Danio rerio: one gene and its partners. The main gene of each other region encodes a partner of the protein of the gene in region 2 in a complex. Links are inferred from orthologs where the notes say so. Each region holds a gene or a part of one and is shown on either strand. Other genes may lie near its edges.

Region 1 (3,757 bases), about 5.7 Mb from region 2:
ATTTCAGTTTTAACATGGCTTAAAATAAGACGGAGGACTTATGCAGTTGATTTCTTCAGCACACTTTAGGGCTTCAGGTGCTGAAATTCAATATGAATTATTAGACATTCAAAACTTTTGTAATGAGATACATAAATTAAATAAGTAGATACTGCTCACCATAAAAGCTATTTTGTATTATTATTTACTTTTAAGACATTTAAATTGTCTTTGGAAGAACAATTATCATTTACAAAAAGAGCTGTTAGCATCTGCTGAGTCTTTGGACTATCTCCTTTAAGCGTTGTACTGTCAAAGGCAGGTTCTTTATAAGGGGATCTAAGGGTTGAAGCTCTTTTTGGAAAAAAGTACTAAATTTATTTTATTTAATATAAACTGACATTTAAGCATAATCAACTCTATTCAATCAAATTTTAATTAAGGTGTTTAAAGAGAAAACTGGATACATACAAACTGATACATCACTATTACAGTTGCATCAATTGCAATTAAAGGTGCTTGAATTTTATTTACTTATTTATTTTATTTTTTGGCGTGGTTTTGACTGGCATCACTCACTGAATGGTCAAATATTCTGAACAGCATTATAGGTGATGTATTTTTTTCCAAATAACTTAAAATCAAGTTTGATTAAAATTAACATTAGTTTTTTGTGCTTGCAGAACCAGTTGTTAACGTTATGTATAGTGAAGATTCTTTACACATTCTAAATTATAAAGTTGTGAACACAGTGGATTGTCACATGTGATCACATGAAATTCATGTGACTTTTCTGTAAGGGTGTTTATAGAACTCTGCATGTCAGTCTGTCAAGTGCTTTGCTAAATCAAATATATTAGTGCATTTACTTTGAACTGCTTTGTATATTGTAAAAAAGTGCCCCACACCTGAGCCCCAGAACGGTTGGATAGCTTTAACTATTTCATGTTACTATAAATTTGGTATTATGCACCATTTCTTTTTAAAGCATACAAATAAGAGGATTCTCTTATTCAGATATTTAAATTTGCACCTTTAAAAAGGAAGGCAGTTTTATAAGTCATTGAACGAAAATTGAGGCTTCATCAAAGTTCACATGATTTTCTGAAAGCAAAGCAATGCTCACTTAAGCTTTGGAAACCCATACCCATACATATTATACATACCTAGCATTTTTTCTACTTTATTCTACTTGATCTAACTGTAGTTTAGGACATACCTTTTAATAAGTTAATATATGTTTGTCTTTCTTTTCTTTTAATGATGTATGGCTGCAGGTTGGGATCTCACCTGAGTCCTTCACATACTGAATGCTATATCACCTCTGATATGTTCTACGTTGAGGTGCATATGGATAAAAGTGGAAAGCTCATGGATGTAAAAGTGGCCCACCATGGTGAAAATCCTGTGGTGAGAGGGAGATGTGGCTATTGTAAATATATCTATTTGATGTATTTTTTCTGTCCACTTACATTTGATTTTATTTCTTATTGTCATGTAGAGTTGTCCTGAGCTGATACAGCATTTACGGTAAGAAACCCATTTTAAAGAAAAGTAAAACTATGCAAAAGGGTGTATGCATTTCTGTTAATGGATAAATTGCTGTTTGGGACGACAAAACACTTTTAAGTGAATGTAATTGCTGTTGCCCTATCAAACACACTTCATACAACAAAATACTAACCTTAAAATTTCTAGGTTTTGATATCAAAACAATTTACTTATGATGGTCGACAGAATGTTGTGCATCATTTAAAAGATAAATAAAATATTTGCTGTATTGCATTACCGTTCACCTACTGACTTCTTCACAGTAAATATATATCTATATATATATATATATATATATATATATATATATATATTAGTGCTGTCAATCGATTTTAAAAAATTAACTAATTAACTAACTAAATGCGATTAATCGCATTTAAAAGACTGAAACTTGTAATTTTGGCTATTCAAATGTAAAATTTATGTAAACGCAAGACAAAAACTATTTAGATTCAAAATATAATTGTTTATTAGAATTTTTGTTTAACTTGTTTTCCCAGAGATGGGTTGCGGCTGGAAGGGCATCCGCTGCGTAAAAACTTGCTGGATAAGTTGGCGGTCCATTCCGCTGTGGTGACCCCGGATTAATAAAGGGACTAAGCCTACAAGAAAATGAATGAATATTTAACTTGTAACAAAGATTTCTTCATGTAAACAACATACCCACAATAAACCATCAAGATCCTGGCTTGACAGCCATATTTATTACAGAAATTAAAACGCAGGCATGTTAATGCCATTTGAATTTCAAAACAATCAATGCCAACAAAAAAACATTGATTTCCATGTTGGATTGTAAGTGGACTGCAAAAAAATGCCAAAATGCAGGCATTACATGTATGGAAATGTAAAATTATAATAATAAACTATTGAATACAAATATGACACAGACACACACACAACGAGCTGGAGCGATTCCCTTTAGATTCAACACGCATTGCGTTTATCAAATTTGCTTAAATTAAGCGTTCTAAAGTATTATTGTATTTTACAAGGATTCTGACACAACAACGTGAAGCATACGCTTTCGTTGCGTTTAATGAGGAAACATGCAATACTTGGAGGGCTCATGCTGAAAGGCAGAGTAATGGCCTGTCTTTGACAGCTTGTGACTTCACCAAAGACTTTCTGAGTACAGTTACATAAGACACCAATACTCCGATTTTAATATGACTAAGATTACACTCTTATTAAAAGTCTACAGTGTAGCCTAAGCAGCTATTTTATTACCTTAAAGGAATACTGAGTCACGAAATGCGGAAGATTTTCTTTCTGTTCGCCATGCGGTATCAACTTACAACAGAAGTCGAAAGTTAAAAATTAAACATCCGAAATTGCACGAAACTCTGGATAACCTGGTGATGAGACATTAATTGTTTTATACTGAAACTTGCCTTCAAAAAGTGCTTCCTTGGTCTTGTCCACATTTCTTGCATGTTAAACACACGTCCACCACAACAGGAAGTAAAAAAAACCTGCAACTGCGTTTTTTTAACGCGTTAATTATTTAAAATTAATCACATGCGTTAACGCACTAATTTTGACAGATTTATATATATATATATATATATATATATATAATGTATATGTGTGTGTGTGTGTGTGTGTGTATATATGTGTATATATATATATATATATATATATATATGTGTGTATATATATATATATATGTGTGTGTGTGTGTGTGTATATATATATATATATATATATATATGTGTGTCTGTATATATATATGTATATATATATATATATATATATATATATATATATATATATATATATATATATATATATATATATATATATATATATATATATGTGTATGTGTATATATATGTGTATATATGTGTGTGTGTGTGTGTGTGTTATTTAACTCCAACTGTAAAGTTGTTAATGTACGGTAACACAGCATTAAACATAAACATTTGTTTTACAGAGACAAGAATTTTGATGAGTTTTCCAAACACCTGAAGGGTCTGGTCAACCTGTACAATCTCCCTGGAGACAAGTATGGTGTCCATTTCTGTTTATTAAATCATAAAGTGCTTTCAGTTCCAGTGACTTGCATTGCAATATCTTTTTCTCATCTTATTCCACAGCAAATTAAAGACAAAGATGTACTTGGCACTTCAGTCACTGGAGCTAGACCTCACAAAGATGATGCATATGTTCAGGTACACTGATTGATTTCCTTGTCAACAAAAAGTTTTGGATGATTGTAGAGATC
Region 2 (3,757 bases):
GTAAAACTGCAAAGTGTTTTCCCCTGACATAGGAGTCATGAGCTGACGAATCATAGTCTGAGGTTTTTCTCTCTCATCCAATCCCAGCATCCGAACGTGAGCCACCAGCCATGCCACTGCACAGATGGCCATACTGCACACCTTTCCTTTTATATTATCTGTGATCTTCTACACTCACAGAAAAACACATCTTCAGTTACAGTCATAAAGAAGAAACTACTGTGTGACATTCATACTATTGGTCCCGAACTGTCAAATGATGGGAATTGTGTGCCATTTAAAGACTTCTTAAATGCCCTCACCTGAACAGCCTCCACTGACAAAACTCCATTTTCCCAGGCATTCAGGACCTCAAGTATAGCTGCAGGAGTACTAAGACATATTTCATGCCATTTCATCTGACTGGGAAGAAGAAAGCATATGTTTGACTTATCTCACAGGCAGGACAAAACAAACCATTTTGTGGCCAATCATTACTTACTTGCATACGTTCCATACTTAAACAAAACACACTGTCCTCTCCCAAATCTGAGCAAATTTTTCATCAAATATACATACAACAAATATGCACTTTTGGATCTAGGTTCTTGGCCTGCCAATTCACATCTGGTAGTACACTCTAAAACTACACAAATGACTGTTAGGCTAATAGTTTCATTTAAAGACAGCAGACCCTAAAATATAATCCCTGATTATTATTTTATTTTTTATATTTTTAATTTTAATAAGACACTTACTTACACATTTTTAACTCAAACGTATTTCAGGATCATAAAACAAACACCTGTATCCGAGCAACAGTCAGCTCTCAAAGAGTGATCAACAGTTCCACATTAGCAAAACGTTTTGCTATAGTGAGATATGCTCCCAATCTTGGATCTATTATTCAAAACGAGTCATCACTTATCTGATGTTACACTGAATGATTAAGATATTTTCTTTGGTGTGGTGTCTAATATAGCGGTTTCTGAATGTAAAAGGTATGCAAATATTCAAAAGCATACAATAAATGAATTTGTTGTGTCATAGAGAATATTATTCAGTGATGGTCAATAATTCAGGCATTACTTCATGCACAACCCTATGTAGGTTTGTAACACATTTGAAAATGCCAGCCTTTAGTTTTCACTGTCATCCTATTAACAACATCTAAACAGTACAGTTGTGGTGTCAACAGGTCAAAAAGAAAATTTTTGCATTGTTTATACTCGACATGTCCGCTAGTTCGATTGAGTGGGCGCAGCGAATGTGACGTTATCGCAGTGTTTGCGGAGGTTAGGTTTGGGTGTACGCGTCATGATTTCGGCTGGCGGAGCGCATGATTTTTTTGAGACGAGCGAACAGTTCGCACGGCGCCACAACTGATTTGAGTTGATTATGAAACACTGAAGAGATTTTGTCTGAAACAGGTTCAACTGTAGAGACATCTTTATGATTCATGTTCATAGATATAACCAGATGATCAAAAATTCTTGGCTAAAAATTACAACATTAGTGGGAAAGGAAGAATGTTTTTGCTAAAACATTTGGGAAAACTTGAGGGATAAGTTTGTTAAAGCCAAAAGAGGCCATGGCAAAAGTGGAGACCCGGATACACAATTACAGAAATATGTTTTTCCATTCATAGGTTTTACACTAATGTATATATTATTTTTTTATTTAAAACAATATAACAGTTACAAAACTAACAGAACAAATAATTTCTTTGATAACTGGAAAGGAATATTTGAACCTATCGGTTTACAATATACTGATGGCCTGTTTTTCTAGGCTTTATTGGTGATAATGGTCAAGAATGTTGGACCATTATCTCCTTTTTAGCATAAGTAGAGGACAGAAACATTATCAGACAGTAATGTGTAAACTGTGGAGCGGGCTAAATCTAAAATAATTTTTAGTAATTGTAATGTTTTTTTTTGCTTTTATAAAAATACATTTGTAAAGCAACCCATGTTCTGTTGTCAATGATATTTTAATAAACTTTAATAGGTAAAACTGTCCGAGATATGAACATAAGTTCAAAAGATGCATCTAAGTTTGACTTAAAAAATCTTAAATGGTTATAAAAATCCTTATAATCATTAAAATAATTTATTAAAATAATAAAAATTATTTGTTTAAAAATCTTGAATGATATTAATGATATGATGTAGTCTGTGTTTATCCGTGTGATTTTACGGTGGGGTTTTTTTTAACCACCCCCTGTTGTTTTGGCGAATGCGGCAAGTATAAAAGCCCTGTCCGTTTTGTGAGGTGCGCGCGCAGTCAGCAGAGGTGTGTGATGCGGCGCCAGACGAAAGAATAAATCCAGCTGAAACAAATACACTGTATGAATCCTCAATGAATGAAAGAAAATGCGTTTTGACAAAACCATTGCCACGTTATTGTTTCTATCATTGTATTTACAAGTCCAGAGGAAGCCACTTGCAATTAATTTAATGAGCTGTAGACCAATCACTAAAAAATGGTGCCTATTTGACAATCCAAACACTCAAAAAGAGAGATTTAGAAAGAGTGGATCCTTGAACATGAACAGGGAATGTATGCTACACTGTAAAACCCAACATTCAACTTTATCAAGTGAAATGAGTGAAGTTAACTCAAAATTGACTGAAAGTTAATTCTACTCATTTGAAAAGAGTTTTGAACTCAAATTAAATACCTCATTACTTCAACTCAAATTAAGCAAGTTCACAGTACTCATATAGATTAGTTTTTGAACTCAAATGGTTTGTTGCAATCAGTTTCCTCAAACAGTTAGAGTTGCCTTGACTTATTGGGTTTTACAGTACTCCATTGGTTTGAGTTCTCTTCACTTATCAGGTTTTACTGTGCTCAAACTGCTTAATTTACTTAAATGGATTAAGTTCACAATACTCATTAGGATTTGTTTTTGGACTTAAATGGTTTGCTGCAATCAGTTTCCTCGAACGGTTTGAGATACCTTAACTTTTTGGGTTTTACAGTGTAAGAGTATATATTTTTTGTTTACTTGATGGATATACACTTATTGCTAAAGACCTTCAAAACAAACTTGTTAAATAGAGTAATAATGGCACTTTAAAGAGAAGCACCACTTACACAAGCTTCATCTCAGATGAAGAATTAAGCAGGGCCACCAGGCTCTCCACCTTCCCAGACTCAGGTCTAAAGCAAGGGTGGTCTGGATTCAGGGTCTTCCCTTCCTCTGGCATGCACGTCTGAAGCCATGTCTCAAAGAAAGGGGTCTCGCTTGATGGGCTGGGGTCTGAAAGAATCACCTGGACAGACAGGAAGTAGGATATGATCGGAGCGTTTTGACTCAGTTGTGACTCTGAGTGTTTTGCGATGACAGGATGTGATTAAGAATTATATAAGAACATTACATAACCTTATCAGATTGAAATTATGTATGTGTAAATGCTGACCTCTGATCCATACGTCTGTACGACATGACACAGCATGAGGAAGGAAATGTCGAATAGCAGAGCTCGTACTGATGCAGACTTCGCTAGAAAGTAGATTGTTAAAAGTGAACTTGTGCTCAGATTTGGCTGGGTAATGTGCTGCTCAAAATACCCAAATATATATCCTTAATCTTCCATTATAATTTACAAAAATACATAAAGAAAAAATTAGAAGAGGGCAAAAATTCACAGCGAATAAACATAATAGCCTGAAAAGAAACTTACATCCTTCTCCACTAATGTGCTTTGGAAACTCGTTCAGCCTGGAAAAGAACAAATATACATCAAACTTCTTGACACTCTGTATTTTT
Region 3 (4,224 bases), on a different chromosome or scaffold from region 2:
GTTTTTTTAGTTGTTATTATCTCTCTCATTACAAATGAACAATGATAGCAAATGTTTAAATGTGGCTTGAAGCATTTTGAGCCAGAGAAAGAGGCCAGTGGCACTTGTAAATCTCAGTTTATATGTGTTTTCCATCAGATTTTTATTTTCACTCTCCGTCTTTTAATCCTGAAGTCTTCTGAAATGGCAATAATTATTTTTTAACATTAATAGATATACATAATTCATATCAAATTCACATTGTTTAGATTACTAGAATGGACACTTTATTTTTCTCCCAGTTAAACAGCCACTTAATGAGTGAGTTTTAGCTACTTGTAGCGTTCAGAAAAAACGAAATACCCATGAAGATACTCGACACAGAGGAACATAACCTACTGCCAGCAAGTGTACGGAAGTGTTATTGCAGAGCAACACAAACAGCATGTATACAGTAGTATAAATGCACGACTACCCGCAAGGCAGGCACCGTGGATCACTGCGATCACGCAGAAGTATAAATCAGCCATTTTAAAAGGGATTTTTGCACAATTGGTCCCCTTTTAAACAAGATGTAGACAGCATATTTTCTAAAGCAATCTAAATGTGTTCTTTGAGCTTCATCTTTATAGTGTTGGTTTGTGTTGCAGCTTCCTGAGCAGTACAGACTGATGCACATACAGCCACCAAAGAAGAAGAGCAAACACAAACACAGACATCATCACCCTCAGGATCCTCTACCGCTAGGTCACTTCAAAAGCTCATGGATTTTCACATTTTATTTCCTCTGTGCACCACATGCATGTTAACTTCCTTTCCCTGTGCAGAAACCCGCACTGACCCCACCAAGAAGAAGAAAAAGAAAGATAATGAACCTGAACGCAGGAAGAAAAAGAAAGACAAGAAGAAAAAAAAGGTGAGCCACTTTGTTGATGCGGCGCAGAATCTTACAAATTTACAATAATTAAAAAGTGTATTGTTGAACAAGGTTGAATGCTACAGGATGTTCCTGTATAAATAATAATGCGTTATTAAAATTTTAAAAATGTATACACATAGGAAGCAGCTTTGCTTTGGTGTAACATCTGAGCAGCCTTGAACAATGCTCTTTATAATTATTTATCATTTTTGCTTCACACAAATATTATTTCAACAGTAAACTGTGTTTATTTTACATTTAAAAGGATGTGTAAGCTTAATGAATGCGCCCTCTTTTACATGAATATTTTACACTAATATAGTTGTGCATATATACTTTAGATTAGTCAGTACTAAAGCTAAGACTGGAACTGATCTAACAAAAAGACTTAACATCACGGTCTAAAAATGAGACCAGCCAAATTAATTAAAGGTGCAGTAGGTGATTGTCTACAGAAACATTTTTTGATGTGCAGGTTGAAAGTCTCTTCACATTCCTATAGTAATGATTAAATTAAATGATCTAAATGTATTTACATGTATTTTTGTATTCTGGGTAAGTCATAAGACTAAAAAATGTTAATTCCCATAATTCTGATAAGTAGCCCAAACTGTCTGTCAACAAATGTAGACTTGTACATCTGCGCTGCTATTCGTGCAAATCTGCCGTTTGTGTGTGCACGTGCGTTCACGTGCACATGAGAGAGAGCGCGACCAGTAAAAACAAATGCTGAAACAAAACTTTATAATCCTGAATCAATATTGAAGTTAGTTTTTATGCTGGAGGAAGAACGAGACCATGGCTGAAGTATTTCTTTTAGACAGGTCATGTTCTGTTTTAAAACTATTAAGTCACACAAAGCTGATGTAGATTCTGTTGTTTCACGGATGTGTTATATGCACGAAAGTGTAATTCCTGCACCCGCCAGCCAACCACTAAGCATACAGTAGTGGCTTTAGGACAAAACGTGGGAGAGAGTGAGACCAACGATCCTTGTATGGATGAAATATTGCACATTATGACAAGTTTTGCTTGCTACACGACTGAAAACATGCTGGATATAATACAGTATTTTGTACTTTACAGTAATAAAGTATTGTAAAGTTTTTCAACTGGCGAATGACAAGAGTTAGTGGGCTGTCTACTGTCATCTTTGCAGTGCGTGTTTGTGATTTCAGGAGGCGTGGCTTTGAAAAATAGGGGTGGGACTGTTTTCTAAGATATTATGCTAACCGGTTAGCATTTTGGCAGATCACCTACTGCACCTTTAATGAGAAACTTTTTGTACAAATTTTCTGTCTCTCTATTCCTGAATGCGTTAGGCGATTTAATTTAATTTGAATAAATATAACAGTTTGATACAACACCAAAATATATTGACGATTCACAGAGAAATTGATTAAAAAAAATAGGAATTTTCCAAAAGGGTTGCAACTCATTTATGCTTTAAACCGTATGCATGTGTGTGTGATTTAATTTTTTTTCTTAAATTTATTTGAATAAAATCATTGTTTTTATCTTTTACTAAAACTAAATAAATTTTCAAACTTACTTTAGACATCTTGCTTCTCAATAAATGTGTCTTGATTTAAGTAACTGATAAGTTATTCACAATAGGAAACAAGACAGTATTTTGCAGTATAACATTTTATAAATAATATTAAAATATAACACATTAGGGCTGCACAACATATTGTTTCAGCATCAATATCACAATGTGATCATTCGCTATAGTCACATCGCACATTTGCATGTGTTTTTGATGCCGCTGATTGTATAAATGATTTTAAAAACATTCAGCTATATGAAATTGTACCATTTGTGACTTTAACAACAATTAATTTTTAATTATTTTTTATTTTTATCATTCAAGTTTTACTTGAATACTGTTAGACTCACACTTTATTTGTATTAAAACACTTTATTTGTATCTTTTTCTTGATTGTATTTATAGATTGTTGTGCATGAAAATACTCGCAACACATGCAAATACAGAAATGCACTGCAAATAGCACAGACCACAATGAAAATGTGCCAGAGGACCCCAAAAATGTTAAAAATAGTAATTATAAGAATCTAATTTTATAAATTATTTCCAAATAGAGACAGTCATCTGGTGAAATTTTATTCATATTGTAAAATATATTGCAGAGATATATTTTTTCCAATATTGCGCATCCCTATAACACAATATTAAATGCTCAATGTTAGTGGCATTCAAAATCAAATCGATGGTCTGCACAGTGTAGAATATGTCCCTAGAATCTACTTGATACCTTAATTATGTTGTAGAATAATTACTTGTTTATTGCTGGGACCTGTCACATTTAAAGTACACCCCATTTAGTCTTGTTAATGCATTTAAAAGGTCTTGGTCTGTTCCCTCTTTTCTTTTAGAATCGACACAGTCCTGATCATCCTGGTGTTACTGGATCTCAACCCAACAGCAACAGCCTGAGATAGAACAGTTGTGTGTGTGCGAGTGTGCTTGTTTGTATGTATGTTTGCACACATGAAGTGATGTTGAACTGTGTTAGAGAATCTGATATGGACCAGTGCGGTTGATTGATGTTTACAAGGGCCAATTGTTGATGATTTTTGACTTCTTTTTCTGGTTATGATGAAAAGCTCAAGGAATAAACTTTGTTATTCTTTATACAGTCTTTAAACACACTCTTTCTTTTTTGTTCACAATAACAGATCATAAAGTGTGCCAAGAAAATATCCCCCACACCATTACACCATCACTAGCCTGAAGTTGTTGATGCCACATTCTGACCATACCATTCGAATGTCACAGCAGAAATCGAGGTTCATCAGACCAGGCATAGTTTTTTCCAGTCTTCTATTTTCCATTTTGGTGAGCCTGTGCCAATTGTAGCCTCAGTTTCCTTTTCTTAGCTGACAGGAGTGGCACCCGGTGTGGTCTTCTGATGCTGTAGCCCATTCGACTCAAGGTTGGATGTGTTGTGCGTTCAGAGATGCTCTTCTGCATACCTCGGTTGTAATGAGTGGTTATTTGAGTTACTGTTGCCTTTCTTCCATCAGTTAGAAGAACCAGTCTGGCCATTCTCCTATGACCTCTGGCATCAACAAGACCACAAAACTGCCACTCACTAAATATTTTCTCTGTAAACCCTAGAGATGGTTGTGCATGAAAATCCCAGTAAATCTGCAGTTTCTGAAATACTCAGACCAGCCAGTCGTGATCCGTTTCCTTGCTGAAATAGTTTTTATTAGCATTTTACTAATTATTTTTATTGACGGTGCTTTAGTACTTAAATATTTAAACATTTTCACTGAAAAGAAAAAAAAATCTAAATTTC
Region 4 (3,989 bases), on a different chromosome or scaffold from region 2:
ACCCAGCTAAACTGGAGTCATCCATGTGCGAATAACGGACCGCTAGCAACAACCAGTACAGCAAAGAAACAGCAACATGACAGCAACAGCAAGTTAGAAGGCTTAAAGAGAATGTCTGTTTCTAATGTATTGGAAGCAGATATTTACGTAGGAACAACACAACAACAAAATGAAGTGATGTTTAACACAATTTGCCGTCAGTTTAACAAGTCAACCACCTTTTATTAATAGATTTTGAACTGCAAAAAACCTGCACATTTTCCATACTGCTCTTTTTGTTTGCATAACACTTTGAATTTTGCTCATTATTTATTAAAGCATCTTTAAGTATTGAAATTCGAGATTCACAGACATTGTTTTTGACACATTATTTAAAATATGTGGCTAAAAATAGCTATCATCTTAGCTTTTTTTTCTCTTCTTTTTTTATTTTTGGTGGGGTCAGTAAAAAATTTGGCAGGGCAAGTAAAAATCTGAACCACTGGCCCGATCGGACCAGTAGAAAAAATCCATAGCGTTAAACCCTGAACAGGTCAAAGTTAAAAATAAAAACAAGCATGTCATACAATATATTTTTATTTGTTAAACATAACTTCTTTCAAAACAAGAGTATCAGCATAATGCTGGTGAGGGAAAAAAACAACATTTAATTTACAAAACATACCCAGAAGCTGACTATTAATGGTAGTAACACGCTGATGAACATTACACAAGGTAAAAAACAGAGGTCGCACAATAAAGACATGCGATGGGAAATCAGCTTTCTTTAGTCCAGAAACCGATGTGAAACAGTGAGTCTCCTGCAGTCGATGTAGGATGCGTATAAAATCCCTGCTGTGTCCCGACACTATAGTTCATGTTGTGGTTTTTTTCTGTCAGGATTCTGGAGGTGTTTGCTGACTCGGGGCTCCGCTGCGGGTGCGGAGCTGTGATTGGGCGATGTCTGCTAGTGCCGTCTGGATCTTCTCCAGCAGGGCGTCTCCTCTGTAAACCACTTCCTCCAGACGCGCTGCAGCTTCCTGGTTCTCCTCTTCCAGCTGTCGCAGACTGGCGGCCTAAGAAACGCATCAGAAATGACAACAAGTAGAGACGAGGTATAATGCTAATGTATTGTTGTTCACTCTGTACTTGGACAACATGGGTAGCACAGAGCCAGATGTGCAATATATGTGGCATGGGATGAGCAATTAACAGTAATCAAGTTTGTAATATGATTAATATCTAGCTAATTGGTCATTTGTGTATTATTGTCATGGTATATTTCAGTGTTTCTCAAATCCATTTCTGGGCTCCTACTGCTCTGTACATTCAGTGCAGCTTCTGGAGCTTTCTTCTAGCAAGATGATATTTATAATCAGGTCCATTATGTAGGCATAACTCAAAATGTGCAAAGCAGTGGCTCTCCAGAAATGGATATGAGATGCACAGGTTAAGCTGAGATTCATTTTTAATGCAACAATATAATTTACAGTTGATTTTCTTCTCTTTGAGTGCCAGAACTCAAAACCTGAAGTGCAGAACAACCATATTTTAAACAGCAGAAGGCTCAATAATTATATAATGATTCAATAATAATAATGTGGTGTTGGCCAGTGATACAGTGTGTGTGTGTATATAATAAATGTACCTGCAAGGCTGCAGTGGATTCTTCACTGGGCAGAGAGTCGATCAGCACATCAACATCTTTTGCTGTTCTTGCTATCAGCGCTGCAAACAGCTGAGCATATTCTAGAAAAAACACATCTTAGTATGTCAACTTCAAAACACATTATTTTCAAAGTGGATCACATTCAGATCAGTGCAGATGAGAGCACCTTCTGTGGGGTTTGAGGGCTGGTCTTTATTGATGGCCGTCTGGATGTTGCTGAAGGAGGCCGGTGGTGCGCACTGCTGCAGAACTCCAATCGCATTACAGAACTGATCCGCCAGCTGAAACACGACATGCAGTAAATCAGACATGCAGGACAATCCACTGTTACTTTCAGTTTACATGTTCTTTGACATGATGAGAAGTATTAGTACTCAGTGCTAAGATTGTGAATTATGTAATATATGAATAAACACAATTACATGTAATGTTTGATTAAACAACATTAATTTAAAACAATTTAAAAATAATTAATATTGCACTTTGAAGAACACAAAAAAAGAAATATTTAAGTGTACTTCACCAATATATAAGTAACAATAGCACTTACAGAAATGTATGTATATATTATATGTTATATTATAATTATATAACGGTGCCTTTTATATACACTTACTTAGATTATAATAGGACTATTATTTTCAGTTTCGTTTTATTTATAACAAGTAAAACATTTATTACAGTATCAAAACACATATGACAACAAACTTCACCTGTTCATTTGTTCACAAATTGCACGCTATGCTAACACTTCAGACGCTACAGTACATCAACATGACTTCTTAAGCAAATAATCCAATTTAATGAACCAGACTATTAAGTAAATCTGTTCGGAAGACATTTGCTGTGTTCTGCAGTTTCTGAAGTATAAAATAAACGTTAAATGAGTCTTACGGAGTTCACAGCATCCTGAAGCTGCGTTAGCCTGTCGGCCATGTTGGCTCCTCTTCACAGTTTCCGTTTCCGCCGAGCGCGTTCAATGCTACATCACGTGATACAGCGCAGCGTACAGCGAAAGCGCTCGTCTACTGAAAAGTTGTTGCATTTTCGCGCAAAGCAGGAGTGCTTGACACTTCCGGAGGCTGGATGTGAAGCTTCAACATGACTGCCGAATGTAAATGCTTCTGCTAAAGCGTGTTTATGGACTGGACTGATCCGGGAAAATGCCACTGAAGAGAGAATGTTTGGTTCTGCTCGTCTTGTCGTGGGTCGGTTCACTGCGCGCTCAGGATGAGAGTGAGTAACGTTAAACCCCTAATACCTTCTTTATTACGCTTGATAAAATATATAATCCCTATATAACGCACATATGTGGCAAATAACAGTTGTTTAAAGTGTGACTCAGCTCATTTAGCGACATATGAATCGAAATCAATCATGTCAACTATGTATTTCTAATCAATTAGTGATTGATATGATGTTGCAACTGATCTAAAGTTCACCGTTACGCTAAATAAACACAAACATCCCAAAATATCTTACTTATCACGCTTAATTAATTATATAATCCCTTTTAAACGCACACATGTGACAAATAATTCGTGTTTGTAGAGTGAATCAGCTGCCGACATATCAATCTGAAATAATAATCCTAAGAATGAAATGCTGATCAATTAGTGATCGATTCGTGTACTGATTTAAGGTCAATATATCAATCTGAAATAACCCTATTATTGTTACCACATAATAGCTAACATAGAGGTAACGTTGCTTTTATAGTCGCACATTCGTTTATTTAGCAGTCTCTGTATTGTTTACCATGTTAACGTTAACGTTACTTTGAATATTCGATAGACATTAGCAGGCAAGGATGACTTCAAAACAACATCGACAATGATTTCCCTATTTAGAATTTGTAAACATTACTTTTCTGAAATTACCTTATTGAGGAGAAAGTCTGAATATGTGAATATAAAACAGACTTTACCTCTATATAGCTAACTATTATTGTTCTAGTGTATTTGGGTTTTATGACTGCTTGTACTGTTTATAAACTGGACTACATTGATATTTATGAGGTGATGATTGCTGATAATGTAAATACACACACACACACACACACACACACACACACACACACACACACACACACACACACACACATACATACATACATGCATATATATGTGTGTGTGTGTATGTATATATGTGTTTGTGTGTGTGTGTGTGTATGTATATGTATATATATATATATATATATATGTATATATATATATATATATATATATATATATATATATTATAATTTAACACTTTAGTGAATCTTAGACAATGCATAAAATAATTAAATACATAAGTGACTGATTTATTTATTTGTTTAATTTTTCATACACAAGAAAGA
Region 5 (4,534 bases), on a different chromosome or scaffold from region 2:
CGCTGTGGCGACCCCGGATTAATAAAGGGACTAAGCCGAAAAGAAAATGAATGAATGAATGAATATTTTTATTTAAAGATTTTAATTAGCATTTCATCAATTACAAAAAAAGAAAACAATCATCAAAAATATTCCAAATAAATGCAGTCTTAACACCTATTCACCGAATTAAAAATCTCAGTCTGTAGGTCATGTTCTCTACATGAGTCTTTTGGGATCAATCTTCTCCAGGTGAACGAGAGGTTTGAGCTGTTCTGCGAAGCTCCTCATGTCCTCAGACACAGTGTCCTGTCCCGCAGGAGCCAGAACGCTCAGCTCAACAAGATACGACAGAGAGAGCGGCTCCGTGTTATCCGTGTTTCCAGGAACCAGCACACGCGACAGTTTGCTCACCACCACCTTCATCACACCCTTCCGGAACACCTGACCCTTGGCCACGAACTCATGGTCCATGCGGAAGCCCATCTCATTGAGGAAGTCAGGCAAGCTGTGCGAGGCTGCCACGTCCACGCAGTTCCGCACCAGGGCATGACGGCTTTTGTCGCCCACCTCGGGCTGACCCAGATAGCGCAGGTGCCAGGGGACGGAGGGGTCGAGGAGCGAGCGGCGGGCACGCAGGATGAACGGGTTGCCCTGCTGACCTTTCAGGAGATACACCAACTCGTGATCAGCAAAGCTCTCAGGCTCCATGTTATCACACAGGCCCCGGAGGCGATGCAAGAGACTCTCCAGAGATTGGTCCAGTACACTGCCTGTGCCAAACAAACCAACAGAACACAGCCAAGTCAAGATGGATAGATAGATAGGGGGTGGGATGGATGGATGCATAGATTAGGGGCATAAATAGATAGATAGATAGATAGATAGATAGATAGATAGATAGATAGATAGATAGATAGATAGATAGATAGATAGATAGATAGATAGATAGATGGATGGATGGATGGATGGATGGATGGATGGATGGATGGATGGATGGATGGATGGATGGATGGATGGATGGATGGATGGATGGATGGAAGATTAGATGGATGGACGGACGGACGGACGGACAGATAGATAGATAGATAGATAGATAGATAGATAGATAGATAGATAGATAGATAGATAGATAGATGGATAGATAGATGGATGGATGGATGGATGGATGGATGGATGGACGGATGGGGGATGGATGGATGGATGGATGGATGGATGGATGGATGGAGGGAGGGACGGATGGAGGGACGGACGGACAGACAGACAGACAGATAGACAGACGGACGGACAGACGGACAGACAGACAGACAGATAGGGGAATGGATGGATGGATAGATAGATAGATAGATAGATAGATAGATAGATAGATAGATAGATAGATAGATAGATAGATAGATAGATAGATAGATAGATAGATAGATAGACAGACAGAAAGACAGACAGAAAGACAGACAGAAAGACAGACAGAAAGACAGACGGACGGACGGACGGACAGATAGATAGATAAATGGATAGATAGGGGAATGGATGGATGGATAGATAGATAGATAGATAGATAGATAGATAGATAGATAGATAGATAGATAGATAGATAGATAGATAGATAGATAGATAGATAGATAGATAGATAGATAGATAATTTAAGCCTGTTCCTATACATCAATAAAAATAAAATTGTAATTGTGACTAATTTGTCTCAAGTAATGTCACAATTTCTCGCAATGTGGTGTCAATTTCTTAGTTAATGCTTAATAAGTCACTAAAAAAAAGATGTAATTGTTTTAATAAATTTAGTTATTAAATAATACATTTCAGTTGTATTTTTTTACTTACATTAACTTATTAACTGTAATAAATGTCGATATCCCTCACTGTGGCTTTTTGTTTTAATGTATGAACTAAGATTTACTAATGAGACCATATTTTGAAAGTGTTATTGATTATACTTTATGAATTAGCTGTATAATTTTGTTAAAAATGTATTTACTCCGAACACACACAAATCTGGTAACGGTTTAAGTAGGAATGGTAATATATGACCAAATAAGCAAACTATATTATGCAAACAATAAGACTCAGCAAAAAGAACTCTCGTGTAGCACAGTGCATGCTATAATTGTATAATTTAAATTATAACAATTGTAAATTATAATACTACAAACACTACAATGAATACATTGTATACATACTATTATTATGCTAAACTATTCGTTTTATATAACGTTAGCACATTCATAAAGTAATACTGTAGTACATGTTTTTATTATACAGAATCCCAAATTAAAAGTCTTAAGGAATTAAAGAAGATTAGGGTGCGTTAAATAAAAATAGTTTAAAACGCTAGAAAATGTGTGTGTATTGTTTATAATTACATATTCACTTTAACATATTCAACGCTTTATTCAAATGACTTTGCTAATTAAAAAATTGAGATTGCTCATAATGGGTATTTAAAAACTAAGTTAAAACTATTTAATAAAGTGTAACAAATGATAAATAGGAATGAATGAATGGTAAAAGGAGTTGTGCTGATGGTGTTGTTTACCTTGCAGAAGATACTCCATCATGTTTATAGTTCCACCCGTGACGGGCATCACAGTAACCGGCGGAGCCTCCATCACTCTATTATTATTACTATTACTAGTATTATAATTCTGAACTTAAGTCTCTTAATACATTTACAGTCAACGATCAGTTGAAAGATTAACTTAAACTAGAACTTTAACTGCTGTAGAAAACATCCACAACAATAGACATGCTAAGACGTGTTAGAAGATATTATCAACAAAAAGCAGGCAGACGATGAATTAAAAATAGCATATATTGTACTTGTATCAAAAAGCAATAAACAAAACTAATGATTTGCGTAAAATACTACGAAAAAATAATGTGTCTCGATGAAACTGCGTCCATGTGAGTAAAGCGCATGCGCAGTATGGATAGCGAGTACTGCGCATGCGCATTGTGCAACGCTTGCTCTATTCTTTTAGGCGTGCATTTAGTGACACCTACTGGACTGAAGTGAACTCTTTATCATATAAAATGGGTATTAAAATTGAGTATTATTAGCCTATTATTAATAGCAGGAGAACATCAATTATGGTTGCGAAAAGCCGATTGCCCTGTTGATCAAATTCAAGTCAAGGTGTTTGCTTGCAGAAAAACTAATGGCTCTAAGAGGTGGGTGTGATTTTGCCAATGCAATCATGGAGTGACATCTATCCTGGAACATGTCCTACATGAAGAAATAATTAGGCTATTCCTAAAATACAATATATTTTTTTTTATGGAGTAATGGAAATCACTATTTTAAAATGGAAAATTATGTGTAAACAAAAATGCAATGGTGGGTTATCGGTGTTCATTTTTTAAAACTTTAAACAATACATTCAAAATTAATTGGTTAATTAAATACAAGAAAGAAAAAGACAGTAAATGGTATACTTTTCCATATGGCGCAGTAGGTAATGCTGTCGCCTCACAGCAAGAAGGTTGTTGGTTCGAGCCTCGTCTGGGTCAGTTGGCGTTTTTGTTTGGATTTTGCATGTTGAATGTCCCTCCCTGTAGGGACTAAGCCAAAAAGAAAATGAACGAATGAATGAATGAATGAATGAATGAAGTTATATTTTGTGTCAAAATTTAGTCAATGAGGGAAGTTACTTTAAGTATATTATACGTTTCAGTGCACTGGCAGGACTTTTTTTATTAATATTGTTATTATTATCATCATCATCATCATCATTTATTATTATTATATTGTTATTTTATTATTTATTTTTTCTAGCATTTTCTTAGTTATGTGCATTTCTCATAAATACCTAGTTTTATAAGCTCACGTTAAGCATATTTTCCAAAAATTATATTGTTTTAATAATTGTTATTATTTCATATCATATTATTTCCAAATAGCTTAAACATGCATATTTACCATTTACATGCAGTACGTACGTATGAACCAATGGTATGAACCATGAACGCAAAGCAGTCGAGTAACTTTTATTGTGGAAAACATTAAATGCACTGTGACGTTTATTTTGAAAATAAATCGACATGTGGAGACCTTTATTTTGAAGTTTCGTGCCATCTTAGGGCTGCATGACATCGCTGGCTGTTGAAGATGAGCTCAACTGTAATGCTTCCTGTCGACATCTAATGAATGTAATTTACTATTATGTGTCTTTTACTTACGTTTGGATGCAGTAGTGTTTGTAATCGAGACAGTTATGGTGTTGTTACCAGCTCCAAAGGTGTGTCTCCGAGTGCTGTGTTTTTCTGTCAGTCCTTATTTATTTACACACATTATCAGTCTGACACCTTCAGATAGGCGAATAAATGCCTCAAACACATTAGATAAGTTGGTCTTTTAAAGATGTGTCGTTTTAAAGTTGTTCGTTCCTGTGCTGTTTGTCATAAACAGTGTTAAATGCTAACAGTAAGTTAGCCCAAGTTAGCAGAGCCAACGTTAGTGTTTTTATATTTAAATTTCCTCTTTTAAGTGTAAATGCTGCAGCCATTTTGAAAATGTTTGTTCTGTGACATTTAAAGCTTACATACA
Region 6 (4,496 bases), on a different chromosome or scaffold from region 2:
TATACATATAATATAATACATATAATATAACATATAATAACATAATAATAACATATAACATATAATATAATATAAAATACATATATTTTATTAACATAAAAAAAAATTATGATTGTAAAATATAACCCACTTACACACAGACGTTGCTGCTGAAATAAGCCGAGTGTTTGAAACGACACCAAATTCCTGTTGACAGCAGAATTTTAGTGTTAAAATGCAGTTTCAAACATCTTTCAGCAGAAATCTGAATAAATATTGTGTTTACAGTGCTCAGTACACCCCTCACAAATCTCTCTTTTAAGTTAATATTTTCTATAGGATGATTTACAATATTATATTTGTGCATATACATTAGTTTAGTCAGTACTGAAGTCAAATTCTGGAGCTAAAAATATAAAAAAATAAAAAGTTAAAAAAAAAGTATGATGACGGTCTAAAAATTAGGTCAAATGTATATAATAAGACAAATATTAAATAAAATTGTAAAAAATAGAATAAAAATCAAGAAAAACAAAAAAAATGTAACATATAGTTGAAATTTCAGTTTGTCATTTTTTTGCAATGTTTTGCATGACTGTACATGCATTATCTTTCTATTTCTAAAGATGATTGGTGACAAAAAAAATATTTTAATAAATATATCAGTTTAATAAATCTGTTTTGTTCAAATATGCCAAAATCTATTACCTATGATGACTGAGACATGGTAAAAAAATATTTATTTTCAAAAAATGTTTTACTCATTTATGCCAAGCACTTTATATTATATACAGACAGAGTATTTACCTCTACTTTAGAGGCCAGAAACACACATGTTGGGGCCATTAACACAGGGTCAATGCTCTTCAGAGAGTACCTGAAAAAACAGCCAAGAGTTTTTCCTTTTATTTCATGAACTAAAGAGTACTTAAATGAAAGCCACAGAACAAAAATAGAGCACCACATTACATGAAAAACACAAGAGCCTAGATGAATCTAGAAGAGGAATCTTTAGAAGAAAACAAGCTTTTAATGATGGCACTGCACTGCTCACCTGGCATAGAAACGCTTAAAGTAGACAGTTGCCGTGGCGATGACCTGCTGTCTGAGTTTCAAGTGTTCGCCCAAGGCTTGAATCACTGTCACAAGAGGACGAATTAAACATTTTAAAGTGTTTAAGCTGTTTAAACTTTTAGGCTTTAAGTTAGCTTTGCATTTAAATCCCAAAACCAAATACAAATGAATACAAAACAGAAAAAAATATATACATTTCAATTAACGCTCCACAGTATATGTGGTAACCTAACACTTGGTCATATGGTCAAAAAATTAAGGCTCTAAGCATCAAAACATAAAGTGCCATTATTTTTCATACATTTACAGATAACTCCCCCTAAAATGTCTAACATCAAATAAATCTTGAAAGATCAATCATCTGATGATATATTAACAGATAACAGTGTAGCCCAAAAGTATTGTTATTTAAATATGTTAAAATGACAAAAAAGATTTACCAATTGTCAACAAAACTTATTTAAAATACAACAAAATTGAACAAGATCACCTATTGTTTGCATATTTTTAAATTATTACTACATTTAAATGATATAAATACCTTTGCAAACATGAAAAATATATATTTATCTATTACACCAAAGTATGAGGAAACAATATTTTCACAAAAGCTATTTAAAGCATGAAAGTAGACACTTTACTCATAGTTAATATGCTTACTATGCATAATAAAAACTCATGTTAATAAAAGTTGTTGCACATTGTCTCTTAAACCCATCTATCATTAATTGATCGCTCATCAGATGAGAGACTTTTATTGATTCCTAAATTTAGATTGAAATCTCTGCAGCTGCTGCTACACTTTGGAATGATTTCCCCGTCTTCCATTAGATTAGCTGCAAATCTGTTTCGTTTTTAATCCAAGTATAAAAACTATCTTGTTTGACAAAGCACTGAACACATGAATAAGATTTAGTTCATATTTTACTGGCGTTTAACCACGTAAAAGCTTTTAATTAGCCTTTTTATTTACTTGTTTTTGACTTATTCTTGCTGTTTGTGGATTTTAGTTAATGTTAAGCACATCCGTCAACATGGGTTGCTTTTAATTATGCTATATAAATGAACTGCCATTGTCATATAACATGAGTAAATACTATATTGTTGAATATTTTGGTCTTGCTTTGCACTTAGTCTAGAAATACAGTTTCAGATTCAGAAAAGAGAAAACAAAACAACTAAATAAGCAATTTCTCATCAAACCATTGGCAAAAAATATCTGCAGTTTCCAGTACTCCTCTTCTGTGAGGAACTTGAGATCTTTCTGTCTCTCCTTCATCAGATCCTGCTTGTCCAGAACCCACTGCAGACTGAAAAGAACAAAGACACTTTCAATTCACAAATCATTAAAGTGTAACACACATATATTAATATTTACGTGTAATAAATACACTCTACAAGTCAAACAACAAATGTATCAGTCACTTCATATCTGGATATTAGCATTAAAACATTACTTTAATTGAGTTTATAAATGTAAATTTAATGTGTGAAAATGAATTCACGTAGTAAATAACCGATATTTATGCAAATGATTCACAAATTAATTTCTCTGTGGTTTCTTCACTAGCCAGACAGCTAAAGCTAATAAGTCAACGATTTAAACTATTAGATTTATAAAAGTCAAATAATCTAACCTCCGTATTTGAGTCTTGGTTATGACCAAAATGTGGTACTTTGTTCGCATTAATAATTCAAATATGACAATTGAAATGTTTTTTTATATCTCTTATGGTCCCGTAACCGCAGCAAAACCCCCAAAAATCCTTTATTGTGCGTGATTTAGGTAGTAAATACGAAAATACTTACTAATGTGAACTCTGCCAGAAGTTCCCTGCCATCTTGAGGTAGAAAATAAACCTTAATGTGCTGTTAAATTGTGTTTAAAATAATCGATGCTCCGTTCAGATCAGATGAGGAGCGCGACAGAAAAAACACTCCGTGGAACTTCAATGTGAAGATTAAAACGGTCCGGGAGGAAACAAACAAACGCATCAGTTCCGGAAGAGTTTTTGCGGACTTTACTGGCATCAACTTTATATTTATCTAATCGAAATTATTTTAATATAATATGATATAATATAATATATTATAATATAATATAATATAATATAATTAAATATAGTATAATATAATACAATATAATATAATATAATATAATTATAATTAAATATAATATACAATATTATAATTTAATTATAATTAAATATAATATAATATAATATAATATAATATAATATAATATAATATAATAAAATATAGTATAATATAATACAATATAATATAATTAAATATAATATACAATATTATTATTTAATTATAATATAATATAATATAATATAATATAATGCAATATATTATAATATAATGATATTGTTTTGTATTAATATAGATTCTCATGTTTTTTGTCTTTGACAGCCATAAACAAACTTTACATTGTCATTTTTTTATTACATTATCATTTGTTTTTACCCAATATACAAGGCTACAGTGACCATAAACCGTTAATTTATGATTAATAATTAGCATGCACCTCCTCGATGAAGTCAACACCAGGCTACTGTCAATCTCCAAAAAGTTTTCGACACTTTTAGTGCAGAGAATGTGATTAATAAAGATCTCAGGCATCAGGAAAACTCGCTCCTCTATTTTTACTGCGGTAAAACTCTTCGCGGTGACCCGTCAGATTGTTCAGCAGCGGGTTAAGTTCAAGTCAGCCCGAGGTTCGAGATTCCTCTGCGGGACAGCAGGTATAAAACTACCGCATGAATGAGTGTGAGGATACAATCACACGCTTCTGTTTCAGGACCACCGGTTTCAACATGAGCTACAGCCCGGAGAGGATGTCTTCTTACCGCAGGCACTTTGAGGGAGGCCTGGCCGCCTCGTCCACCCTCCAGGTCCGGGTCTCCAGCCCTTCTCCAACTCGCGGGGCGACTAGACACCGGTCCGCCAGCTATTCCCGCAGCACCGGCCGCAGAGCGCTGTCCGGGACACGCAAATCACGCATGACCAGGTAAAGAGACATCTAATGTAATATATTTAATGTTCTCTAATAAACGTGCTCATACTCAACAATCAAATACGTATGTAGCCTAAATAAATAATAAAAAATTTGACTAAGTTTTAATTTTAGGAAAAAACTTTACCATAGTATTTCACTGTGTTATTTGTAGCCTAACAAATGTAATGTAAAATTAATGTTCTGTACTGTAAGTGCTCATACCGGACAATCAAATAATGATGTAGCCTAAAATATAATTAAATATTTTACTGTGTTTTTAAGAAAAATATTATAATTTTACTGTGTTATAATCAGTAGCCTATAACAGATTTAAGTTAAAAATATGTAAATCAATAATTAAATATTTTAACTGTAGGCTATATATTTTTAGGAAATAATAGGCTATACTTTTATTAGCAGCCTGACACCTTTAATGTAA
Region 7 (4,473 bases), on a different chromosome or scaffold from region 2:
AAAGTTACATATTTATAAACCACATGTTGCTTCAAAGATAATATGTTTGAAGTCAGCAGGAAACAGTGTGCTATGCTTCATCTGTAAACCTATCAGAGCTTGTAGAAATGACGGTAAATGCTTATCTCTTATTGAAAGAATGAATGTTTCTGTTAAACATGGCTGTTCACTTTCAGAAGTTGTAGTGATGTTCTCTTTTCCCTGAAATCATATGAAATATTTCATTGATTTGATATTTTTAATAAAATATTGCATTGAATTATTTAGAATGCTTAAATCTTTTCTGTTCAGTATCACACAGCACTAATGGTAAGCGACCTACAATTTGGCACCATATTGTCTGTTTTTGCTTTATATTGACAAATAAAATAATATAACTTTATAGTTTAGGTTATGTAAACTGCAGATTTATGGAACAAAATCAAAGTATTGTTAAAAAAAACAAAAACAAAAAAAAAACGTATTGAATAGCACAAACTGAAACAAATAATATATTAAATTAACAACTGCTTGCATTTTAATGACTTGGATTGCCAGAGTTTGTAATTTTAGGTCTTGAAATTTAACACAGCTGTTTATTTAAGCTGTAAATATTTCAATTAAAAATTTTTCAAACACGTTTTTATACTTGAAAATTCTTATACTTATTTTATACTTAAAAATAATAATTCTTAATTTCCGGATTTCATGTATAATATTCAAAAGACAATTTTCAACTCACTTTATTTCAGTTCAAAAGTTCTCTTCCATTAATTTAGTGGATCAAATTCGGCTGTTAAAATTTAACAAGGACAATATTAAATGCTACTTTTGTGCTGTTATTAGCTTTTTCCCTTAAAAAGGGAGTTTTTAAACCTTTATTTAATGGTTTAAAAATCTTAAATTGGTCCACCTGCTAGTGAAAAAGCAGCTGGAGATTGCCAATCTGCAATCTATTGCTGTTCCTGCAGTTCCCGGAAGTAATGTCGAATTTTAAGAGCCAAATTTAAACCACTGAATTTTTGGAAGCAAAATTTTAAACTGAAAAGTAAACAAACTGAAAGTTAAATTTTGAACATTATGCTTCATATTTTTCACCAGTATTATATATTTAAAAATTGAACTTTTAATATATATATGAAATCTGGAAATTGAATATGAATTGTTGAAATTTTAAGTATAAAAACATGTTTAAAATATTTTTAGTTGAAATATTCACAGCTTAAATAAACAGCCGTGTTAAAATTCAGGCCCTAAAAATACAAACTCTTGCAATTCAAGTCATTAAAATGCAAGCAGTTGCTTATTCAATGCATTATTTTTTTTCAGTTAATGCTAATCAACAAACTTTTTATTTCAATACTTTTGCCATTAATTTTGTTCCATACAGATTAGGCACACATACTAAACTTGTAATTCAATTTACATTTTTAAATACAACTATATACAGCTAAATTATTAGACCACCTGTAAAATTCTTAATTCCTTTTCAAATATTTTCCCAAGTCATGTTTAGCAAAACAAATATTTATATTTCTATTCTAAACTATTACGTTTTAACTTATATAGAATGTCTCATTTCTTTATTCTGGTGGCATTAAAAGAATAAATTTCTTAAAACGTTACGGTCGATATTTTTCACCCCCTTAAGAACTTCTTATATTCGACTGTCTACAAAACAAACAACTGCTGTCAAATGACCAGCCTAATTGAGCTAGTCAATTTTTTAAACAGGACTTTAAGCTGAATAATAGTATTTTACAAAATAACTAGTAAACTAATAAATAATTAATAATACTAACTAATAAATAACTAATAATAAATAACTAATAAATATTATGCACTAGAACTACACGATATTGAACAAATTTTATATCCTTCTTTCTTTCTTTCTTTCATGCTTTTATTAGAAGCACTCATCATCCAAAGAAGAAATGTTTGACAAATTAACAATCTATTTCAACAAGAACAACATGTTACTTACTTTAGAAATTTAGCATATTCTGGTTCCTTCCAATAAAGCAGATACTTTAAATAATTGACGAAAGGCTTCTCTCTCAGGTAACCTCTCTGAGCCAGAACTGCAGGATGGGGGGAAAAAATTAAGATTAATAATCATTATCCATCTTCATATTTCGACCACAGTAACAAAATTACCTTGAATTTACAGAATGTAACAACCAATGAGTGAATTTGACCAATGACTAAAGTAATGACTGAATTTAGCGAACAGTAAAAAAGAAACAAGAGTTAACGTTGTTCTTACAGTTCAGGTAGTTTGGGTTTGCCAGACATTGAACAAACTCCAGCTCCAGCTGAAAGCGCTGTCTCGCCTGCTCGTCTGTCAAAGCACAAATAGAAGCGTAAGCAATGTTTGTGTTTGAAAAGAAATAATACAAATAATCATTAGTAAATGTATTCATGAACTACCAACGAACAATACTTGTATTAGTGCATAATTAAAATGCAAGTTCATGCTTGACATTAGTTGATGCACCGTAAGTTGAGATTACTTTATTTCATTAATACTTTTAACAAAGACGAACAAACACTGTAATAAATATAACGATTCTTGTTTGTTCATGTTAGCAAACATTGGCTAACGACGATACTACCTTAATGTTAAGTGTTACAGAAATTGCTTGAACAACATATATCTGCGCCAGTACAGAAAATAACACATAGTGTAGTACCTCTAAAACGTTGTATAACTTAATATGATCAAAACGAAACTAAAATACGTTACCAAACAATTGTATTTACGTTAACTGTCACATTGCTAGGAATCTCGTGGGCAAAGATGTGCTAAATAACAATTCAATCTAATTTTAACAAACCTGTTTCCATAACACCAGCCATTACGGACAACGAGAATTCAGACGACGCTGAAATATCTGGAAAATGATTAGTATAAAAAGATTTTTTAGAGCGCGATTACCAAAAACAACACATTACTCATTGTTTATGCGGACATAGACCGCTGACGCCATTTTTGCCATAAAACCAGTGCTGCTGTCGTAAAAGTGTTTCACGACATTTGCACCTTTTTTTTAAATAATAAAGAATGAAAACTTACAACCACAATCAGGAGATCAATATAAGAGAGATACAAAATAGGAACAATACAAACTACATTTGTAAGGGGTAAGTAAATTACACTTGTATAAAATTGTATAAAAATAAATTAATTAAGAGCTATTTAACTCAAATCAGAGTCAACAGTTCTTCATGTAGAGCCAAGTATCTGACACATTTTTTGTTGTTGTTACACGTACGCAAAGATTTGAGCAGGAGTCAACTTTAATGAGAAAATGTCGAAAAGTAGGGACTGAAACAATGCATATTTGTATAAAATATTTCCAAACAAGATAAAAAGTTGAAAACAAATTCTTCAGATTTATTCTGAGTAATAACAAACACTTTATTTTAAACTAAAATATTGTGCAAAGGTAGGAGGAGTGTTTAATAACGATAAAGGTCAAACCAAAATTTCTGAACAAATTCACACATACAAAATAATTGTATTAAAGTTTCATCATCCTCACCACAAAATGTACAACTACTCGGAATATCAAAATGTTTAGAAACAAATAAGTAAGCCGAATAAAGTTCAGGCAATATTTTAAAAAAGTATTTATGAGGCATTTGCACCTTTTTTTTTCGTAGTAATATTTGTAGCCTACAAAATACATTTTGTGACTTGGAATATAAGAAAAAAAAATCTATTTTCCATGATAATTTGGTTAAAAAGGTGTTCTATTGGTCTCACAGCTTAAAAGATGAAGGATATTTACTGACTTATAGGCTACTGAATTTTTTTGAGAAGTTTAGTTCCTGTGCCTCCACAAGGCCTGGCGGGGCTTTTGCAGAGTTACAGTGAACCAAATAAACTAACAGTTAAAAATGAGATTTAATTACATGGTGTTGATTTCAAAGATAGAAAATGTAATAATAAATTTTGTAGACGCTTGATTTATTATCTTGCCACTTTTAGACACAAATACTTTTGGAATAATCTGAGAATATCTATTGGAACTTGATCTGGACTTATAACAACAAGTATTGTGTCACTAATAAAGTGAAATTATACATAAAATATATCCAACCAACCAATTTCTCAAAAGATGATCAAAAGTTGATCTTTCTGAATTTGTGTTTATTTGCGGAGTGGATGTTGAGACTCTTATGCATTTGTTTGTTGATTGTATATATGTTAAATATTTCTGGCTTTATGTTGAATGTCTATTTAATATACTAAGTGGTCACAGAATTAATTTAAAGAAAAAGAGATGTCAGATGCGTAGATCAAAAAGATATAGATAAGAATCCCCTGTTAATGTTAAATCTTTTGATATTATTAAGTTTCATATACACAAGTGTTATTGTTCAAAGAGAAAGCCTAACATTTTTCATTTCAAAGCTGATTTAAAAAAAATATTTTTATAATCTTAAAGGATTTTCAAGTCATAAAGCAACTGTGGATCTACTCCAAAA

Evidence for each region.
Region 1: the proteins of med24 (region 2) and med1 are in contact, whole or in part, in a cryo-EM structure (PDB 8T9D), measured with the Homo sapiens proteins. The link is inferred for Danio rerio from reciprocal best matches to the Homo sapiens genes MED24 and MED1. Residues at the interface, in NP_055630.2 of Homo sapiens: Lys7, Ile10, Trp14, Lys15, Arg17, Leu47, Ala50, Met51, Ile52, Gly53, Pro54; in NP_004765.2 of Homo sapiens: Phe375, Asn377, Gly436, Leu437, Gln439, Glu441, Ser453, Asn459, Asp460, Ser461, Leu462, Val463, Cys464, Tyr480, Lys481, Gly482, Asp485.
Region 3: med24 (region 2) and med19a share a complex: the UniProt entries of both Homo sapiens proteins name them as parts of the mediator complex. The link is inferred for Danio rerio from reciprocal best matches to the Homo sapiens genes MED24 and MED19.
Region 4: med24 (region 2) and med21 share a complex: the UniProt entries of both Homo sapiens proteins name them as parts of the mediator complex. The link is inferred for Danio rerio from reciprocal best matches to the Homo sapiens genes MED24 and MED21.
Region 5: med24 (region 2) and med18 share a complex: the UniProt entries of both Homo sapiens proteins name them as parts of the mediator complex. The link is inferred for Danio rerio from reciprocal best matches to the Homo sapiens genes MED24 and MED18.
Region 6: med24 (region 2) and ccnc share a complex: the UniProt entries of both Homo sapiens proteins name them as parts of the mediator complex. The link is inferred for Danio rerio from reciprocal best matches to the Homo sapiens genes MED24 and CCNC.
Region 7: med24 (region 2) and med31 share a complex: the UniProt entries of both Homo sapiens proteins name them as parts of the mediator complex. The link is inferred for Danio rerio from reciprocal best matches to the Homo sapiens genes MED24 and MED31.

What each region holds. Positions count from the first base shown.
Region 1 is NC_133187.1:16,863,619-16,867,375, forward strand, and holds part of med1 (mediator of RNA polymerase II transcription subunit 1), read left to right. Parts: intron 1-1,256; coding exon 1,257-1,389; intron 1,390-1,480; coding exon 1,481-1,509; intron 1,510-3,466; coding exon 3,467-3,538; intron 3,539-3,629; coding exon 3,630-3,704; intron 3,705-3,757. UniProt on the Homo sapiens protein: Component of the Mediator complex, a coactivator involved in the regulated transcription of nearly all RNA polymerase II-dependent genes.
Region 2 is NC_133187.1:11,211,373-11,215,129, forward strand, and holds part of med24 (mediator of RNA polymerase II transcription subunit 24), read right to left. Parts: intron 3,710-3,757; coding exon 3,672-3,709; intron 3,491-3,671; coding exon 3,408-3,490; intron 3,261-3,407; coding exon 3,082-3,260; intron 403-3,081; coding exon 303-402; intron 169-302; coding exon 1-168. UniProt on the Homo sapiens protein: Component of the Mediator complex, a coactivator involved in the regulated transcription of nearly all RNA polymerase II-dependent genes.
Region 3 is NC_133189.1:26,390,757-26,394,980, reverse strand, and holds the end of med19a (mediator of RNA polymerase II transcription subunit 19-A), read left to right. Parts: intron 1-629; coding exon 630-726; intron 727-806; coding exon 807-895; intron 896-3,295; coding exon 3,296-3,361; 3' UTR 3,362-3,554; downstream 3,555-4,224. UniProt on the Homo sapiens protein: Component of the Mediator complex, a coactivator involved in the regulated transcription of nearly all RNA polymerase II-dependent genes.
Region 4 is NC_133179.1:2,082,965-2,086,953, reverse strand, and holds med21 (mediator of RNA polymerase II transcription subunit 21), read right to left. Parts: upstream 2,630-3,989; 5' UTR 2,585-2,629; coding exon 2,543-2,584; intron 1,930-2,542; coding exon 1,815-1,929; intron 1,729-1,814; coding exon 1,628-1,728; intron 1,056-1,627; coding exon 876-1,055; 3' UTR 561-875; downstream 1-560. UniProt on the Homo sapiens protein: Component of the Mediator complex, a coactivator involved in the regulated transcription of nearly all RNA polymerase II-dependent genes.
Region 5 is NC_133191.1:7,708,764-7,713,297, forward strand, and holds med18 (mediator of RNA polymerase II transcription subunit 18), read right to left. Parts: upstream 2,864-4,534; 5' UTR 2,598-2,863; coding exon 2,525-2,597; intron 753-2,524; coding exon 199-752; 3' UTR 52-198; downstream 1-51. UniProt on the Homo sapiens protein: Component of the Mediator complex, a coactivator involved in the regulated transcription of nearly all RNA polymerase II-dependent genes.
Region 6 is NC_133179.1:6,195,627-6,200,122, forward strand, and holds the start of ccnc (cyclin-C), read right to left. Parts: upstream 2,985-4,496; 5' UTR 2,895-2,984; coding exon 2,863-2,894; intron 2,364-2,862; coding exon 2,257-2,363; intron 1,119-2,256; coding exon 1,034-1,118; intron 857-1,033; coding exon 787-856; intron 187-786; coding exon 135-186; intron 1-134. Other genes in the region: ngs (notochord granular surface), read left to right, coding at 3,819-4,069. UniProt on the Homo sapiens protein: Component of the Mediator complex, a coactivator involved in regulated gene transcription of nearly all RNA polymerase II-dependent genes.
Region 7 is NC_133196.1:43,308,273-43,312,745, forward strand, and holds the start of med31 (mediator of RNA polymerase II transcription subunit 31), read right to left. Parts: upstream 2,979-4,473; 5' UTR 2,839-2,978; coding exon 2,817-2,838; intron 2,321-2,816; coding exon 2,246-2,320; intron 2,061-2,245; coding exon 1,964-2,060; intron 1-1,963. UniProt on the Homo sapiens protein: Component of the Mediator complex, a coactivator involved in the regulated transcription of nearly all RNA polymerase II-dependent genes.